Linked DNA regions of Ovis aries. The protein of the gene in region 1 purifies or fractionates together with the protein of each later gene. This does not show direct contact. Links are inferred from orthologs where the notes say so. Each region holds a gene or a part of one and is shown in the gene's direction. Other genes may lie near its edges.

Evidence for each region.
Region 2: the proteins of COPS7A (region 1) and DCAF11 purify together in Homo sapiens (affinity purification with mass spectrometry; 3 studies listed by BioGRID and IntAct, counting the BioPlex papers as one, with this or other methods). This does not show direct contact. The link is inferred for Ovis aries from reciprocal best matches to the Homo sapiens genes COPS7A and DCAF11.
Region 3: the proteins of COPS7A (region 1) and DCAF1 purify together in Homo sapiens (affinity purification with mass spectrometry; 4 studies listed by BioGRID and IntAct, with this or other methods). This does not show direct contact. The link is inferred for Ovis aries from reciprocal best matches to the Homo sapiens genes COPS7A and DCAF1.

What each region holds. Positions count from the first base shown.
Region 1 is NC_056056.1:209,554,144-209,561,080, reverse strand, and holds the start of COPS7A (COP9 signalosome complex subunit 7a), read left to right. Parts: upstream 1-2,924; 5' UTR 2,925-3,040; exon of another isoform or gene 3,041-3,219; intron 3,220-3,506; 5' UTR 3,507-3,549; coding exon 3,550-3,711; intron 3,712-5,587; coding exon 5,588-5,663; intron 5,664-5,879; coding exon 5,880-5,968; intron 5,969-6,764; coding exon 6,765-6,937.
Region 2 is NC_056060.1:20,837,075-20,843,256, reverse strand, and holds part of DCAF11 (DDB1- and CUL4-associated factor 11), read left to right. Parts: intron 1-183; coding exon 184-248; intron 249-561; coding exon 562-662; intron 663-899; coding exon 900-1,046; intron 1,047-1,252; coding exon 1,253-1,307; intron 1,308-1,661; coding exon 1,662-1,730; intron 1,731-2,072; coding exon 2,073-2,130; intron 2,131-2,228; coding exon 2,229-2,414; intron 2,415-2,772; coding exon 2,773-2,926; intron 2,927-3,341; coding exon 3,342-3,494; intron 3,495-4,314; coding exon 4,315-4,421; intron 4,422-4,511; coding exon 4,512-4,646; 3' UTR 4,647-4,671; exon of another isoform or gene 4,672-5,355; intron 5,356-6,182. UniProt on the Homo sapiens protein: May function as a substrate receptor for CUL4-DDB1 E3 ubiquitin-protein ligase complex.
Region 3 is NC_056072.1:49,424,331-49,429,404, forward strand, and holds the end of DCAF1 (DDB1- and CUL4-associated factor 1), read left to right. Parts: intron 1-2,084; coding exon 2,085-2,525; 3' UTR 2,526-2,940; downstream 2,941-5,074. UniProt on the Homo sapiens protein: Acts both as a substrate recognition component of E3 ubiquitin-protein ligase complexes and as an atypical serine/threonine-protein kinase, playing key roles in various processes such as cell cycle, telomerase regulation and histone modification.

The sequences.
Region 1 (6,937 bases):
TCTAGAACACTGACAACACCAAGTGATGGTGAGCGTGTGGAGCAACAGGAGTTTTCACTCACTGCTGGTGGGAACACAAGTTGTACAGCCTAGTTGGACAGGCTTTCACCATATGATCCAGGAATTGTGCTCTTTGGTATTTCCCTGAGGGATGAGAAAACTTATGTCCACACTGAAACCTGAACATGGATGTTTAGAGCAGCTTTATTCATAATTGCCTAAGCTTGGAAGCAACCAATGTTCTTCAATAGCTGCATGCAAAAACAGTGATACATCCAGACAATGGAATACTATTTGGCACTAAAAAGAAGTGAGCTAACGAGCCACAAAAAGACATGGAGGAAACTTAAAGTGAAAGAAACCAATCTGGGAAGGCTACGTACTGAATGATTTCTACTCTATGACAATCTGGAAAAGGCAGTATTATGGAGATGACAAAAGTATAAGTAGTTGCCAGGGGTGGGAGGTGGAGAGAGATAACTAGGCAGATCATAGGGATTTTTTAGGGCAAGGATATTATGTATATATTATACATAATAATTATAGATATGTCATTATACGGTTTTCCAAACCCAATGAATGTATGCCACCAAGAGTCAACCCTTAGGTAAAATTTTGACCATGCTGCACAGCATGTAGGATCTTAGCTTCCCAACCAGGGATGGATCTCATGCTCCCTGCAGCGGGAGCATGGAGTCTCAAACACTGGACCACCAGGGAAGTCCCTAGACTGATGTTAATAATGGAGATTATGCACGTGTAGGCTCAGGGCCTATATGGCAAATTTCTATACCTTCTTCTCAATTTTATTGTAAACCTAAAACTGTTCTAAAAATATAGTCTTTAAAACATTGAACAAATAAAGACCTGGCACATGATAAAATATATGTTGACTCATTTCTCATTCTTTCCTCATATTTCTCTTTTTCCTTTCCTTTTTAAATATTAATAGATATGGTTAGATCGAATAATTATTTGGTTCCTCCAAACTTTGGACGGTTTTTTATGCCTTTGATTCCTTCTCACTTTCAGGTACCAACTCATTTATTCTTCTTTCTCCTCCCCTGCCTCTTCTTCCTCATTCTTTTTTCATCTCCTTCTCTCTTTTCCCTGTTTACTTAACTCCCCGAGGCCTGTTTTTCCATTTGGAAAAGAGAAACAATAATGAATTGTTTTAAGTATCATTGAATAAGTAAACTATTAGCTCAGTGCCTCACCCGAAAGCTCCAAGACATCATTAACTTTGCTCTGATTTGACCTTCTGCAAGGCCAGTATGAAATATAGAACACAATAGAAATGTTCGGAGAAGGCAACAGCACCCCACTCCAGTACTCTCGCCTGGAAAATCCCATGGATGGAGGAGCCTGGTAGGCTGCAGTCCATGGGATCGCTAGGAGTCGGACACGACTGAGCGACTTCACTTTTACTTTTCACTTTCATGCATTGGAGAAAGAAATGGCAACCCACTCCAGTGTTCTTGCCTGGAGAATCCCAGGAACAGGGGAGCCTGGTGGGCTGCTGTCTCTGGGGTCGCACAGAGTCGGACACGACTGAGGCGACTTAGCAGCAGCATAGAAACGTTACTTGTTTATTTTTTTTCACCCAAAGTATCATGGTGAATTGGAAAGATTTGAAAACACATGGGTTCCACGTAAAGTCGATTTTTATTAGCCTCAGTTTTTCTAAGCTGTACAGTAAGAGTAACAATATATGCCTTCCCTCCTCTTAGGTTTTTTTTTTTTTTCCCTTCCCCAGCAAGTAAAAGAGTCAATATTACAGAAAAGCATCGCTGTATAAACACATGTAATCATGATAAGATGGTGTCCTGGAGTCACAATGGGGACTCTGTTAAAAGGATTCAGTGGGATGCAGTTTTAATTTTAAAAGATGTCTGATCAATAGTTCAATTTGTTCAATTCAATAGTTAAATTCAATTTGTTGTTTAGTTGCTAAGACTCTTTTGCGACCCCATGGACTAGAGTCTGTCAGGCTCCTCTGTCCATGGGATTTCCTAGGCAAGAATACTGGAGTGGGTTGCCATTTCCTTCTCCAGGGGATCTTCCCAACCAAGGGATCAAACCGGAGTCTCCTGCATTGCAAGGTAGATTCTTTACCATTGAGCCACCAGGGAATATTCACTACATGGCAGTTATTACTATCTCCTTTATTGTTTTCACTTTTTTCTCTTGCTCCTCCAAAAAAATGAGTGGTTGCTATACCCAGGTGATCTCTGCTACTGGACCTCTACTACTGATGTCGTCATCTTCTCTTCTCTTCATCCTACCTTCCTTTTTCCTTTCTGACCCTCTCTTCCGATCACAACTTTCCTCTCACCTCAACCACCCCATGAAGCCAGAAGTCGAGCTATTAGGCTGCTGCTGCTGCTAAGTCACTTCAGTCGTGTCCGACTCTGTGCAATCCCATCGACGGCAGCCCACCAGGCTCCCCCGTCCCTGGGATTCTCCAGGCAAGAACACTGGAGTGGGTTGCCATTTCCTTCTCCAATGCATGAAAGTGAAAAGTGAAAGTGAAGTCGCTCAGTCGTGTCCGACCCTTAGCGACCCCATGGATTGCAGCCCACCAGTCTCCTCCGTCCATGGGATTCTCCAGGCAAGACTACAGGAGTGGGTTGCCATTTCCTTCTCCGAGCTATTAGGCAGGCAGCTTAGATCTAACTCTGAACAAGCCCGGACCTGCCGGAGACTAGGAGCCCCCCGTCATTTAGCGTCTAGCACCCGACCAACAATAAAGTTTTATTAAAACAGAGCAGGAAAAAAAGCCGCCCATCAGCCTTTCCTCAACAGCCAATCAGAGAGCAGAATGCCTGCGTCGCTCTCGGGAGCTTCACAGTCAGAGGCGAGGGCGGGGCATGTCGCGCCCGAAATCCTCCCCATAAGAGCGGAAGTACGGCCGGAAGCCAGCCATAGAGTTTAGGGGCTAGAGTGACCCTGCAGGGAGGTGGCAGGAAAAGCTGAGAACAGCTGCCGGAGGTGACGGAGCGGTGGCCCCGCCCGGTGCGCTGGAAGACGGAGCTTCCAGGTAGCGGGCCGCAGAGTCTGACCCAGAGTACGACGGGGTGGCCGGCGGGAGCCCACGGTCCCTCGGCGGCCTCTTTAAGGGAGGGGGCGGAGCCACGTGAAAGGATCGCTAGGGTGAGGTCACGTGGTGTGGGGCACCTGCGGGGCACAGTGGATATTTGGGGGAGCGTCGTCTTTGGGGTGAACACTATGTGACATCCCTTTCCCCACTGAGACTTGTGCTTTGGAGTTCCATGGGGTGCACGTGGTGGGATTTGGGGATAGGTTCAGACATGGGGGAGGTGGGCGTGACAACGCTGTATCAGCCAGGGTGCCATCGAAGTGGCTGATCTTAGGATTCCTAAGATACAAGGGTTACACTATGGTTACAAAGTGGCTCAGTGCTTCTGCAATCCAGCCCGTAGGCCTTGTGATTTCCAGCTTCCCCAGTTCAGAAACCTCCAGCTTCCCATCCTCTTTCCTTGCAGCTGCAGACTTCCTGAGCCCAGGTCCCCCCAGCTCAGCGCCAACATGAGTGCGGAGGTCAAGGTGACGGGGCAGAACCAGGAGCAGTTTCTGCTCCTGGCCAAGTCGGCCAAGGGGGCAGCGCTGGCCACACTCATCCACCAGGTGCTGGAGGCCCCTGGTGTCTACGTGTTTGGGGAACTGCTGGATATGCCTAATGTTAGAGAGGTGGGTTCCTGACCTGGATAGCTTCCAAGGAGGCTTGGGGCTAAAGACTAAGAATGGGTGGACAGGGCTCATTTTCAACCCGATAACCATTCAGCTGAATAAGAGCTTGTGATTCAGAATAGGAGACCTGATTCTAGCCTGTCTCCATCAATGTCATGGCTCTTAATCATATTACCTTGATTGTAGTATGTGTTATTTGCTCAGTGGTATCTGACTCATTGTGACCCCATGGACTGTAGCCCACCAGGCTCCTCTGTCCATGGTATTCTCCAGGTAAGGATACTGGCATAGGTTGCCATTTCCTACTCCAGGGGATCTTCCCCAGGAAGGGATCAAACCCGGGTCTCCTGCATTGCAGGCAGATTTTTTTTACTGTCTGAGCCACCAGGGAAGCCTGTTACCTTATCAGGTCACTTTTATTTTAGGACCTACATTTTCTTTTTAAAAACTGGACACGGGGGCTTCCCTGGTAGTCCGGTGGTTAAGACTCCACCTTCCAGTGCAGGCGGTGGAGGTTTGATCCCAGGTGGGGAAACTAAGATCCCACATGCCACATGGTATGGCCACAAAAACAAAACAAAATGGACCTGTTACTGCCCCTCAGTGTCGTAAAAATCAGGTGAGATTATGTGAAAGTGTAAAGTCTGGTACAAATAGAAGGAATGAATGTGAAATTGTCATGACCGGTAAATTCGCTTAAGTTAGCTAAGGTAGAAGTTATCTTTTTCTTCAAGACGCACAATAATATGCTAGGAACACAGGGGAGAGAACTGTTCCCACAGAAGTGATAGAATTAAGAGTTTGAAGTCCAGAGTGAGTAGATTACCAAGATGTATGGCACTAGCCAAAGTTCTGAGATACTCTGACAGTGGTAGGTGGGTGAACTCTGAGTAAATTTTTTGAGGGCCAGTGATTGAGTCAATGCAGTTAACCTTTTGGGATCCTTCTTGTCCAAAGAAAACTGGCTGCCTTCTTTCCCTGCTTTCCTCTGCAGTGGAATCAAAGAGAATCAAGGGGAAGGAAAAGAGGTAGGTTTGGGGTGCCTGTTTAGCATTCTTCTAGTCATCTGGAAATACCAGAAGAGTACAAACCACGGGGCTCCCCTTTTGAAACATACATTCCAGTTGTGCAGATAAGATGAATGGATATCCATGTATAAATCACTTATTTAGCAAGTATTTATCAGCAAAGCCAAGTACATGCACATTTTCTGCTAGATCTGAGTGGGATAGCAGGAACTAGGCTGTAATCTTGTTGAAAAGAAAGACCTTGTTAGGTAACAGCATCAGGTGGGCTTTGATGGACTAAGTGGGTGATCAGTGGTAGGAGGAGAGGAGGCCTGGGTGGACTGGCTTGAGTGATTCATGCTCCCAGCTGAGGCCAGTGTGAGGCAGAGGCACCTCCCAATGCCGGCCCAGATCCTGCAGCTGTCCAGGGAGTGAGGCCAAGGCAGAAGTCCTTGGTGAATTGGCGAGTACAGCAGACTCCCTAAAGGTATTCAAATTCAGAAATACTAGATATACTCTAAGGATGAAACAACACAGTTTGTAATGTCCGGGGGGTGTGCGTGTGTGTGAAATGTGTTAGATAACTAAACACTACGAAAGTTTTTGACTTTAGGGTAGGAATTGGGAGGCAGATGGAGGAAGAGGGTGTTGTGGGTCTGGGGGACAGACTCCGCAAAGGCCTGGAGGTGAAAATGAGGCTTCCTTGGGGAGAGCAATCCGAGACGCAGAGAATTCCTTTCGATGAGCTGGGAGAGCTAATGTTGGAGGGGAGAGCTGGGCCTGGAGATTGGAGTTCAAACAGGCAGGGTCTGGAGGGTGGAGAGAGAGGCCCTTCCTGTCATCGCTTCTCTTCCCTCGTGTTTCCGCAGCTGGCTGAGAGCGACTTCGCTTCCACGTTCCGGCTGCTCACAGTGTTTGCTTACGGGACGTATGCTGACTACTTAGGTAACCGGAGGGGTTGGAGCTCTGAAGACTGGAGGTGGGAGAAGGGCAATTTACAGAGGGACTTATAAGACATTCCTGGGGTACCTGACTTAGATCCCTTGGGTCAGGGTCAGAGTCAAGACCTGAATTGGCATGGAAAACTAAAAAAGAAAAAAGGAGGCTAGGACTTCCCACAAAAGTGCAAATCAGGATTTCCTACACTTTATTTTTTTCTAGCCGAAGCCCGGAATCTTCCCCCACTCACAGAGGCTCAAAAGAATAAGCTTCGACACCTATCGGTCGTCACCTTGGCTGCCAAAGTCAAGGTGAGTGACAGTCCCTACCGGGTCCTGAGTCACAGAACACCTTTCTGTATGTCCCTTCTCGAGGGTCCATCGGAAGGGAACGGTCACCGTGTTGCTTCTTCTTGCCCCCCTCAACGATCCTCCAGGTCCCACATCTGAACTCCATTACCTTCGGCCTTTGGGGCTGAATATGATTCTGGAAGTTTTCTCTTTTGCTTTTCGACCAACTCAGGTTCTAAGTAAAACACCTTTTGCGTTTGGATTCAGGATAGCAACACGGATGCTGCTGGCTGTGTCCTTCAACAGCCCCCTCCTCCCCTAAGATCCTGCAAGCTGTACCATGTGACCAAAAAGAAAGAAGTCTATAACCCAGAAGTGTTACACATTTGTATTCACTGTTGGGTCCTGTTTTTTGACTATCCCCCCTCCCATCTGCATCTCCCAGTTGTTACCTCACTCTCCTCCGTCATGCTTACGGTTTTACTTAAATCAGGCTGTCTCCTGTGAGATGCCTCTTTGGAAGTAGATGGAGGAGCTCCAGACCTCCCCCACACCATATCCTCCCGTGATGTCAGGCGGGTTCTTTACCACTAGTGCCACCTGGGAAGTCCAAGAGGGTGTATGTCTTTTATTTAAGATTCTTACCGTGTTATTTCTCAGGTGGGAATACTTGTTATTTATGTTACCTTAGAACCAGCCTCTTAGAGGAGGTGATCAGGAGTAGGAGTGGAGGGTGGGCAGGGGGGTGGAGAGAAGGGGATCTTGGAAGCCGTCTCTGCCACGGTCCCACACAAACCCCACTGCCCTGGGGCCCCAGTGTATCCCCTATGCAGTGCTGCTGGAGGCGCTAGCCCTGCGCAACGTGAGGCAGCTAGAAGACCTGGTCATTGAGGCCGTGTACGCCGACGTGCTACGCGGCTCCCTGGACCAGCGCCACCAGCGGCTGGAGGTCGACTACAGCATTGGGCGGGACATCCAGCGCCAGGACCT
Region 2 (6,182 bases), on another chromosome or scaffold:
AAGGAAGCCTCAAGTGCTGGAGCTGGAGCACTCTCAACCAGCCTGAGTGGGCATTTGGTGGGACATATTACTATGTGCTGGGTTCATTCCTGTAGCAAGAGCAATATTTTGGAGGAGGGGGCTTGGTGTGGCTGAGGTGGCCCTCTGTTTCTACTAGCAATATTCCCCAATCCCTTCCTTTAGAGAGAACGGGGCCTCTGCCACCAGGGAAGCTTCTCCCTTGGAGAACGGTCTCGAGTGATGTCTCAGTGAGTATGGGGCTTGGTGGAGAGATTCCAGGGGCCAGATAAGTCTAAACTTTCTTAAACCTTAAAAGGATGAGTGTTAAAGGATTCTCAAGGATATTAAAGTTAGGTTATGTGGGGTTGAGGCTTTGAGAATGAGCAAAGTGGAAAAGTATAGCAATTGAGAGGATGATAGAATGAATCAAAGACAAAGGCTTATACCCAAAGCCGGGAAGAATGCCCCTGTACTCACATCCAGCTGTGTTAGGATGCTACTAACTGGGACAAGGAGCCATCCTGAGCTCCTCTTACCCTCACTTTCTTTCTGCTTCCCCAGCTTCTTGCCCAACGATCTGGGCTTCACCGATACCTACTCTCAGAAAGCTTTCTGTGGCATCTACAGCAAAGATGGTCAAATCTTCATGTCTGCCTGTCAAGGTACCATACCCTAGTCCTACCAGCTGCCTTAGAACGAGAGATGTTCCCTCTGACTGATGCTAGAAAGCCCCAGATCCAGGGAGCTCAGACCCTGGCTTAAGGATGCTTAGCTAGAACACATGTTTTGTCCCATGATCAAGGGAAGATTCCACAGATCAGTGGTGAGCGAGAGAGGTCTGACCTAGGGAGGATTCCAGGAGGCTGTTTTCTAATTCTGCCTGATCGCCACTCACACAGACCAGACAATCCGACTATATGACTGCCGGTATGGCCGCTTTCGTAAATTCAAGAGCATCAAAGCCCGAGATGTCGGCTGGAGCGTCTTGGATGTGGCCTTCACCCCTGATGGGAACCATTTCCTTTACTCCAGCTGGTCCGATTACAGTGAGTGTGCCCCAGACCTCCATGGTCTCTCCAGCTGGGGACCTGAGGTCTCCAAACACCCATCTCCTCCGTGCCATGACTCCATGCCTTTTCCTGGACAAATTACTCCCCAGGTCCAACTTCCTTCCCATTTGTTCTATCTCTTCCCTGGCTCTACCCTCCTTACCTCAGCCCTGAAAGATTCTTGTTTCTCTTGCTTCTCTTAGTTCATATCTGCAACATCTACGGGGAGGGAGACACACACACTGCCCTGGATCTAAGGTACTGGCTTCCCTTACTGGTCAGACTCATCAGAAACTACTCAAGAAAGGCTCTCTAGGAGCATACCTCTTGAACTGGAACTCCCACTTAGAGGGGAAAGTACACTGGTTGCAAGTTTCTCTGTGTGGACTTCTGGGAGGGAACCACCCAGCCTGTCAGCCAGAGGACCAGGATAAATAGATGGCTGCAGGATTCTTCTTGGTTCCTCACTGAGGTGCCCCACATTCTGGCATGTGTGCTGGCGGGATTTCTTTTCCCCTCAGCAGTGTGCCTCACGGCCCTTGTCACATTCTGTGGATTAACCCGGGCTAAAGGGAAGTTCACTTAATGCAGCTCCTCCTTGTCTCTTTTCAGGCCAGATGAACGTCGCTTCGCTGTATTCTCCATCGCTGTCTCCTCAGATGGACGAGAAGTGCTAGGAGGGTAAGTGTTTGTGGGGATGCCCCCAGAACTTAATGAGATAGAAATTCTCCCAGAAACGGGCTCTACCATTACAGAGACTATAGTAGATACCCGTACCCAGGCAGCTGTGGAGAACAACCAGGACTTCTCCAGGGCCAAGATTTATGTGTGGCTTCACTTCTCAAGCACCATTTCTCCAGCACGAGATGGGAGGTCACAGCTAACTCTTCTCCCACCTCCTGTATAAGAAGACACAAGGGCTTGCCCCTTAGCGGGACTTCGAGACACAGTGTCTCCAGAGCACACGTAGCATGGGTCCTCTCGATTCTGGCTCCAAAGCCCTCTTTATCGCCTCCCCTTCAGGGCCAATGATGGCTGCCTGTACGTCTTTGATCGAGAACAGAACCGGCGGACCCTTCAGGTATTGCTCCCGAGATTTCAAGCCCCCGCCTCCTGGTCCTTGGCTTGTTGGAAGACCTAGAAAGAGGTTGTAAACATTCTGGCCCCTTTCTCCCCTAGATTGAGTCCCATGAGGATGATGTGAATGCGGTGGCCTTTGCTGATGTCAGCTCCCAAATCCTGTTCTCTGGGGGTGACGATGCCATCTGCAAAGTGTGGGATCGACGCACCATGAGAGAAGATGACCCCAAGCCTGTGGGCGCACTTGCCGGACATCAGGACGGCATCACTTTCATTGACAGTAAGGTGGGTGCAGAGGCAGGACCGCACAGCCAGGCGACTGAGTTGTGCTATCAAAGCAAACAGGTGTGGCAACTCTCCAAGCTCCACCTTTAGCCACGGTTTGCAAGATCAGCACCATCCACAAGGAGCGGGGCTTTCTGTACAAGAAAAGTAGAAGACAGTCTGATCCAAGGTAGAACAGGAGCCAGTCAGTGTGCTGGACAAAGAAGGGGAAGCCTAGCCAGGGTGTGTGGCCCGTGGTAGGAAACCAATGGCGAGGCCCACCTGGGTGAAGAGAGAGGAGACCAAAGAGCAGCCTGCGTTCATACCGCTCAACTGAGAGGGGGGGCTCTGATCCTCCTTATCCATCCTGGATTCACAGGGTGATGCCCGATATCTCATCTCCAACTCCAAAGACCAGACCATCAAGCTCTGGGATATCCGACGTTTTTCTAGCCGGGAAGGCATGGAAGCCTCTCGCCAGGCTGCCACACAGCAAAACTGGGACTACCGCTGGCAGCAGGTGCCCAAAAAAGGTGAGAGCAGAAGCGGGACCTGAGGTCTGGAGAGTGAAGAGTCAGGAGTGCTAGTTAAAGTATTTAACCTGTGGTAAGGCCCAGTGTGGGCATGGTGGATGAAGCTGGGACCCCTCTCCTGACGCCCCCTTGCCAGGCATTAACTCTTTGTTTGCTGAACCGTGGGAAAGTCAGGAGTTACCAATGTGGGAACTGGGGATCACTCACTCCAAGCCAATGGATACAAAAGTACTGCAGCATCTTGACAATCAGCAGAGCCATACTGGCGTATATCACCTGACTGTTTGGTGGGGAAAGAGACACCAGTTGGGGATTGGAAAGAGGACTGTCTATGAGCATCATTGTTTGCTGAGGACTGGTGATACAGGAGAATCCAGACTCCCTAACCCCGGGTTTGCCCTGCATCCCTCCCCAGCCTGGCGGAAGCTGAAGCTCCCAGGGGACAGCTCCTTGATGACCTACCGGGGCCACGGGGTGCTGCACACCCTCATCCGTTGCCGATTCTCCCCCACCCACAGCACCGGCCAGCAGTTCATCTACAGTGGCTGCTCCACTGGCAAAGTGGTCGGTAAGGACTGGGTCAGACCAGGGGGTCTCGGGAAGGGCAGGAATGTTCCCCTGGCATTCTGCCTGTGAGCACCAGTGAGCACCTTAAGAAATCCAGTGAGAACTATAATGAAATTTCATTTAGCCTGATGCAGGGTGGCTTAAACAGAGAAAGAGAAAACATTCTATTCATTAGCATTTTAAATTAAGAAAGGAACACAGAATTCTAGTCAGTAAATATACTAGATCACCAAAAATATACACAGTTCTGTTTTTTAATCAGTCAGGGAAGAGATTACAGATGAAAGGTAGGAGGGAACAGAGACAGAAAGAATGACACAAAAAGCAGCAAGTCGTAAAAGATGTACAGCCACTGAAGCAGGAGGAATGCATGAAAAGAAACAGACACAGATGGATGGAGCCTAAGACAGAGCCTAAGATAGACCTAGGGAGGTGCTGAGATGAAGGCCCATCCAGGGAGAGAGGAAGGCACACCCGAGTCCAGAAGAGGAGCAGCAGGTTTACAAGTCTATGGAGACAGGCCCATGTTCACCTTTGTGGTGTCTCCCATATCTTGTGAGCTTTCCAAAAAATGGCTGCTTTAAAGCCACATTTCATTTTCTTAACTGTTGACCCTGTAACATTTAGCTAAGGGCCAGAGATACCCAGGCTCTGCTAGATCATACTCTCAACCTGAGGTAGGGAAAAGAAACTAACAGCATCCCCAGATGTGGGCTTTGTTCCTCTGGGAAGGTGGGAGGTTGCCTGAGAGGCAGGGAGAGATGAGGGATGGCTGGAAGGTCTTCTGGCTGCCCTTCTCCACTCTGGCCTTCCCCGGACAGTGTACGACCTCCTCAGTGGCCACATCGTGAAGAAGCTGACCAGCCACAAGGCCTGTGTGCGTGACGTCAGCTGGCACCCCTTTGAGGAGAAGATTGTCAGCAGTTCGGTGAGGATGCTAGAGTGAGGGTGGCCAGCGTGTGTCTGGGACCGAGTGAGGGCAGCGTCCCCTGACTGCTTGCCATCTTCTACCCTGCAGTGGGACGGGAATCTGCGTCTGTGGCAGTACCGCCAGGCTGAGTACTTCCAGGATGACATGCCAGAGTCGGAGGAGCACCCCAGCACCCCTGCCCCAATGTCCCACCCCTCTACAGCCTTTTCCTCGCCCCAGTAGATCTGACCTCCAGGCCCAGTCATGGGTGAGCCTCTTCACCAGCTCTCCACCTTCTCCTTCTTTTCTCCCCTATGGGGGATCTTTGGGGACTCACTGGCACTGGCTGGGGAGAAACAGAATCCCAGGCTTTGGGCCCCTAGCTGGCCCCTGGGAGAGCCTCCCCTCGGGGTAGTGTGGTCCTCTCACATGCTCACACTCAATCATCTTGGACCTCTGTCTCTGGCTGGGGTTTGGCAGGACTGCCATTATCTGATCAGCAGAACTGTCCTGAGTGTTTTTAATCATGTTTGGATGTTAAGTGTTAGCTCCTAGAGTAGATGCCTGGGGCCAGGTCTGAACTGTGCCATCAGCAAGGCCCATTGCCCAGGCCTTCACATTGAGGATTAGTTAGACTGGTCAGTCAGAGGGCCAGGAGCGCTGGCCTTTGTTCCAGAGGTCCTAACGGCTAGAGCTCTAGCCCCTCAGGGAGAGGGGGATGGATAAGCACCCTCCCACGGCAGGAATTATGTCTTCTCTCTCATGCGTCTGGGTCTTTGGGGTGGGCAGGCTATGGTGTGAGAGGCTCTGTGTGGCCCCACACAGGGCAGGTCCTCCCCCTCCCAGAATGTTCCATCATGCCAGAGGCCAGCAGCTTCAAGGAGGGATGTTGAAGTAGGACTCCTTTGTCCTATCACTGGCTTTGGCTCCCTCAATAAACTGTGGGAACCTGGCTCAGCATCTGTCTGTCTCTCTCTTTATCCTGTTGCAAATCTTTCATCCTCTCACTTTAAGAAAATGGTTTCAACAAAGCTTTCAGATATGCTCCTCTGTTAGAGAAATCACTGCTATGATGCCAGAAGATGAAAGGGAATACCAAAATCATTTGTTAACTGAGCTTTGCAACAGGGAGTCCCTCACCAACCTCAGAAACTTCTCAGCAAATGGAAATTGAGATAATAGGAAGTAAACACGTTTTGGGCTTCCCTGGTGGCTCAGATGGTAAAGCGTCTGCCTGCAATATGGGAGACCTGGGTTCGATTCCTGGGTCGGGAAGATCCCCTGGAGAAGGAAATGGCAATCCACTCCAGCACTCTTGCCTGGAAAATCCCATGGACGGAGAAGCCTGATAGGCTACAGTCCATGGGGTCGCAAAGAGTCGGACACGACTGAGCGACTTCACTTTCACTTTCACTTTCAAACACGGTTTAGATGAGAACCCGGAACACCCACATCAGCTCTGCCCTGGAGCTGGTCCAGTCTATGGAGAGAAGTAGCCCAGAGCCAGAGATCACCTGGTGGGCACTGATGGCAGGCCCCATCTAGGCACTTCACACAGCACCCTTTTTTCCAGGTGAGGAAATGGAGGCATACAGTGGTCAGCCACCATGCCTCAGGGCAGACCCATGGTGTGGACAATAGGGGAGCAGCTTGGCCTCACCTTCCCCATTATCTCTAAGGCAGTTCTGGAACCAGAATGCATACCTAAGGGGTCTTAGAGACACAGCAAGGGATTAAGAGATGTACGTGTTCAACAGCAAAACACTTTTAAAAGAATAA
Region 3 (5,074 bases), on another chromosome or scaffold:
CTTGATTTTGGAGCTTTTTCTTAGTTTTCCTGAATCAGCCGAGCTTTGATGTTTTTAGAAATGAAGATTGATCTTCCTTAAATGTGCTGGATAACGGATGCCTGTGTGAACAGTTTACCCTTTTATTTACTCAATTGCGGGCCTTTAAAAGTTATGCCGTCCTGAAACACTTAAAGTTTATATAAATTGCCCAAGTTCATACAACACATAATTGGCAGAGCCAGGATTCTAACCCTTGCTTGTTGGAGCCCAAAGCCTAGGCGTCTTTTCCTGTCATGTACTCTGAATACAGGGATGAGCGTGTGTATCATTCACTACGTGTTCACTTCTGAATCGAAAGTAGTACCATCTGGATGCGGAATAGCATGCATATCTTCTATTCCAGAGCCTAAGAAGCAGGGCCCTGGATACTCTTTTTTAATGTACTTGTTTTTAACTGTGGTACTTTACTGATGAATTGGAACTAATTTTGGCCACGGCCCTGAAAACATGCCTGGAAAAAGAGGTGCGAGAGTTTGTAATCTGGTGAACACTGTGAATTAGTTCCCTGAATTTTGACCCTTCTCTCCTTTCGCAGTTATTTGTATGAGCTGATGTACTTGGGGCCAGGAGCTTGTCCGTGCGTCAGTTTATTTTTAATGCCTCCAAGTACTTTCAGTTCATTTCCAGTGGATAAATGCTCAGTAGCTGTTCACATGTAGGTGATGTATGGTGAGGCTGTTCAGCAAGGGTTGCAGGTCGTCCTGGGTTCTGTTCACACACACACACAAATTCTGGTATGGAATGTACTTGTACAGGTATCAGGAATACTGGGTATTTAACGTTTTTCCCATATAGCTGCCAGAAATTGTTGAAAAGTCTCAATCAGTGGCCAAACAGCAAATCAAAAAGTCTAAATGGTGGCTCCAGTTATCAAAGGTTCATAGAGCAGAGCTGCTGTGCTGATGGGAGCCTGGTTCGCACGACCGCTGATGAGCACCAGTGGCTGGATGAGTTGTGTACTTGGTTTTTAAGTGATTGGCATGAAGCAGAACTTTCAAACATGTTTAAAAAATACTTCTTCTGCTGTGGATGGGTTGTTCTGTCGTGACTTTTGTTAGGCTCTGGTTCCGTGAATCTTGTATTTTATTACTGCAGGAATTAGGATCCTGTCGCTGCTGGCAATGCTCACAGTTGATGTTTGAGCAGCAGGATTAGTGATTGAATGTTGGGAACAGCTGCCATCCCTCAGAAAGCAGAGGTGTCTTTGTGTCCTCTCTTGGTTGAAGGGAAACGGTTTGGATTTTGGTGCAAAACTGAAATGCGGCAGATGCCAAAGTGTATCATTTCCAAAGCCCAGGGCCCCAGGGCCAAGCACTTCATTAGTCTTCTGGTATCTGCTTACCTTTGGGAAGATCTCTTAAGAACGAAGTATGGACGGTTTCTCTCGCATACTGGGGGTTAATATGTGGCTTGTAACAGAAAATACAGTCTTAGTGTTATATACATAGTAAAAGTCTATTTTGTTGGATATTCAGATCATGGGATGCTTGTGATGCGGTGTCAGAGGTTTACCCACGCTTTATCTGTGATTAGAAGATCGAGGACAAGGATGGAAAGGGCTTAGGAGCCAGTGCCACAGCTGTTATTTGTCTTGTTTGATTAAGCATTGCTTTTTAGATACCAGGTCGAAGCTTTTATTCCAGTACCTCAGCTGATTTCATTTGATTTGGTTGATGCAAGAGAGAGAGAAGAGCCTCTTTGGGTTTGTTATTAGTTAGCAACCTAGAATCGATGGCAGAGACTTCTGTGGAGTGTTACCCATTTCCTTGGAGAAGGGCTGCGTGCCGAGTACTGCCTTGGTGGGTGGCCAGCAGTCCTTGTCTGAGGGAGCGCTTGGCGCCTTGGGGGACGCGTGCGCGCCTGTCTCAGCCGTCACTGACGAGTCACGCTGGCCCGTGAAGTCTGTGCTGAAACCTGGATCACCGTGTGCTCTGCTGCTTGTTCCCGCCGCTCCTCTGGGGAGCCGGGGAGAGGCTCCCTGTGTGGCCAAGGTGGCCCGGGTCTTGGTGTCTTGGCTAACGGACCTCATGCTTTCTTACCAGGAAGAGGAAGAGCAGGAGGAAGAAGATGACGACGAAGACGACGACGACACTGACGACCTGGACGAGCTGGACACGGATCAGCTGCTGGAGGCAGAGCTCGAGGAGGACGACACCAACGAGAACGCAGGGGAGGACGGGGACAACGACTTCTCGCCCTCGGACGAGGAGCTGGCAAACCTCCTGGAGGAGGGGGAGGACGCGGAGGACGAAGACTCAGACGCGGATGAGGAGGTGGAACTGATCCTGGGGGACAGTAAGTCTGCGGCTCACTGTGAGCCTGGGCACCTTCCCTGTGCCCACCCGGCCCCGAGGGCAGCCGCACTGGGGTTCTGCGCCCGGAACAAGTCGCCACCCAGGCCCTTGAGGAAAAGTCCTTCCATGTCTCTGTTCCGACGTGTTCCTGATGTGGCGTCTGTCACCAGCGGTCTCTCATCTCTCTAAAACAGGGGTTGGCACTTTCTGTAAAGTCTGGACAGTAAATCATTTAGGTTTTGTGGGCCCTTCTCTACTCATCTCTGCTGTTGCAGTGTGAGAGCACCCAGAGACGAGGCGTAAGGTAACGATGTGGCTCTGTTCTAGTTAAGTAGCTGATGGGCTTGGTTTGGCCCATGAGCTGCAGTTTGTTGACCTGTTTCAGAGGATTAGCCTTAGCCTGGAAGGCCGACGTGCAGTTCTCCTGAGAGGTTGTCGGTTGCAGCTGCTCACAGGGAGCTTGTTCCTGCCCCTTCCCAAAGCTGTGGGAAATAAAAGCTGTCTCGTGCGTTGCAACGCCTGCTTCCTGCTCTTGCCTACTCCCTCCTAAAGACTGGGGGACAAATGTTCTTTTTGGCTTGTTTAGTAAAAGTTTTAAAGAACAGGCTCCAGTTTTTCTTGTCCTTCCCCCTTAGAACATGTCTGAAGTCAGACTGCCCCGAGTGCACTGATGGACCCTGAGCAGACCGGCTGCCAGTTCCCAGGGTGCAAGCCCTGCAGCTGCACCTGTTTCGAGAGGACATGTTTGGCAGCGTCACTGGGGACGTGTGTCACTGTGAACCCACTCGTGCTCGCTCGGTCCTGGCTCTTCCTGGTGCTGCCCTGCCTGGCTGGGCAGAACCCTGTGACAGCCGCCACTTTCCACATAGCGCTCTGGCAGCATTCTCACAGCCACGGCAGGCAGCAGGTAGCCAGTCACCACCTAGGCCACTGAGGTGCCCAGTCCCCCATTCCCACATCCACACTGCAAGTGCTCGTTACAGTGCCGCACAGCACAGACCCAGAATGTCTGCATGGCCACAGTCAACCGTGCTGGTCCAGACCCAGCACGTGCAGGCCTCTTCAGAGTAGATGTTTGGTCTTCATAGTCACTGGTGTTTGGTGCTGGGGGTGAAAGGAGTGTGTATGTAGGTGTGAGGGGTGTGCGTGTCTGTCTCTGGGTGAGTCTCCTATTCCACAATGACCGGAATCTGTTTTCTGTGGGATCTTATGCACCTGGCTCTTAGGACTGAAGGCAGTTGACTGAAAGGAGAATGTCTTTCTTACATGAAGGCTTCTCGGCCAAGCTGTATTTTGAGGACGCTTTATGGGGCTGGGAGGGCATGCCTTGTATCTGTCTGCCCATCTGCTGTTTGCCAACTTCCACTTTTTCGTACTTAGAGGGTGAGGTGATTCAGTGAAGGAGGACTTCTCTTCCCTAGCGATGGTCAGAGTGCTAGATAAGAGGGACTAAGGAGCAAGGGAAAAATGACGATATTGATGGGAATAAAAAGGAAAGTTTTACTGAGCTTTTTTGTTACCTGTGACACATGGGCACAAATTTGTTTCTCTTCAGTTAAAACTAGGCGGGCCAGGGGAACAGCTGGTACCCCTGACTGACCTAAGAGTATCACTAATCTTTTTCCATTTTTAGTTAATGTAACATTTTTATTTGGTCTGTAAAATTCCTGCTTCTTTTAGCCTTTTACTGTTCATTCTAGGAAATTCCTTCTTTCAAGTCCAAGAGGTAATCTGGAAAACCCTGAGTTGATGAGAGAATGTTACTTTAACTTGGTGGGAGTGTTGATAACGTGAAAGTGCCTTTACAGATGACAGGCTGGGCTCTAGAATTGTGGTGATGTCGAGATGGCTTGTACAAAGTGTGTGCTCTACCCTTTCTGTTCGGAGGATGAGAAAAGGGTAAGGAAGGTAGAGAAAGGAGTCCTGTCACCTGACCACGAGTGGGGGAGATCGGTGCCTGACCCCTGAAGGCTGTCAGACCTTGTACCTGAGAGTTACTTGCTTAAAGAAGGCTGTGTTCTCCTCATCCAGCTGCACATAGGCCTTACATGTTACACACTATTGGCTGGAGACATATAAATACGTTTTCAGAGAAGGATGCAATTAACATCACCATCCGCAGTTGCTAGATCTTAAAGCTAATCAAGGGATGGGACTTCCCTGGTGACCCAGAGGTAGGGCTCTGTACTTCCAATGCAGGGGTGTGAGTTCAATCCCAGGTCAGGAAGCTAAGACCCCACATGCCTTGTGGCCAAAAAACCAAACTATAAACAGAAACAATATTGTAATAAATTCAATAAAGACTTTTAAAATGCTCCACACTTAAAAAAAAAAAAAAACGCTCCACACATCATTCACATTTTGCTCCGTTAGGTCCCCCCGCCCCCGCCACCCCAGCCTTGTATATTATAAATGCACATTTATTACTGTTAAAATTTTCAAAAATGACACTGCATTTTTGGGTGAATTGTACACAGATAGTTTCTCTGATTGTTCAAGTGACATATATACTAGTGTCTCAGATGGTAGTTTTTCAGAATATAGTTCTGATTCAGACAGCATGGATGTTAGACCAACAAAGACAAAAATCCTTAGTGACTTGACTCAGAGAGAAGGTGAACCTGACACTCCTGCTGCTGGATGTATAGGTGTGCTTCCCTGGTGGCTCAGGACGGGTAAGAATCTGCCTGCGGTGCGGGAGACCCAGGTTTGATCCTTGAGTGAGGAAGGTCCTGAAG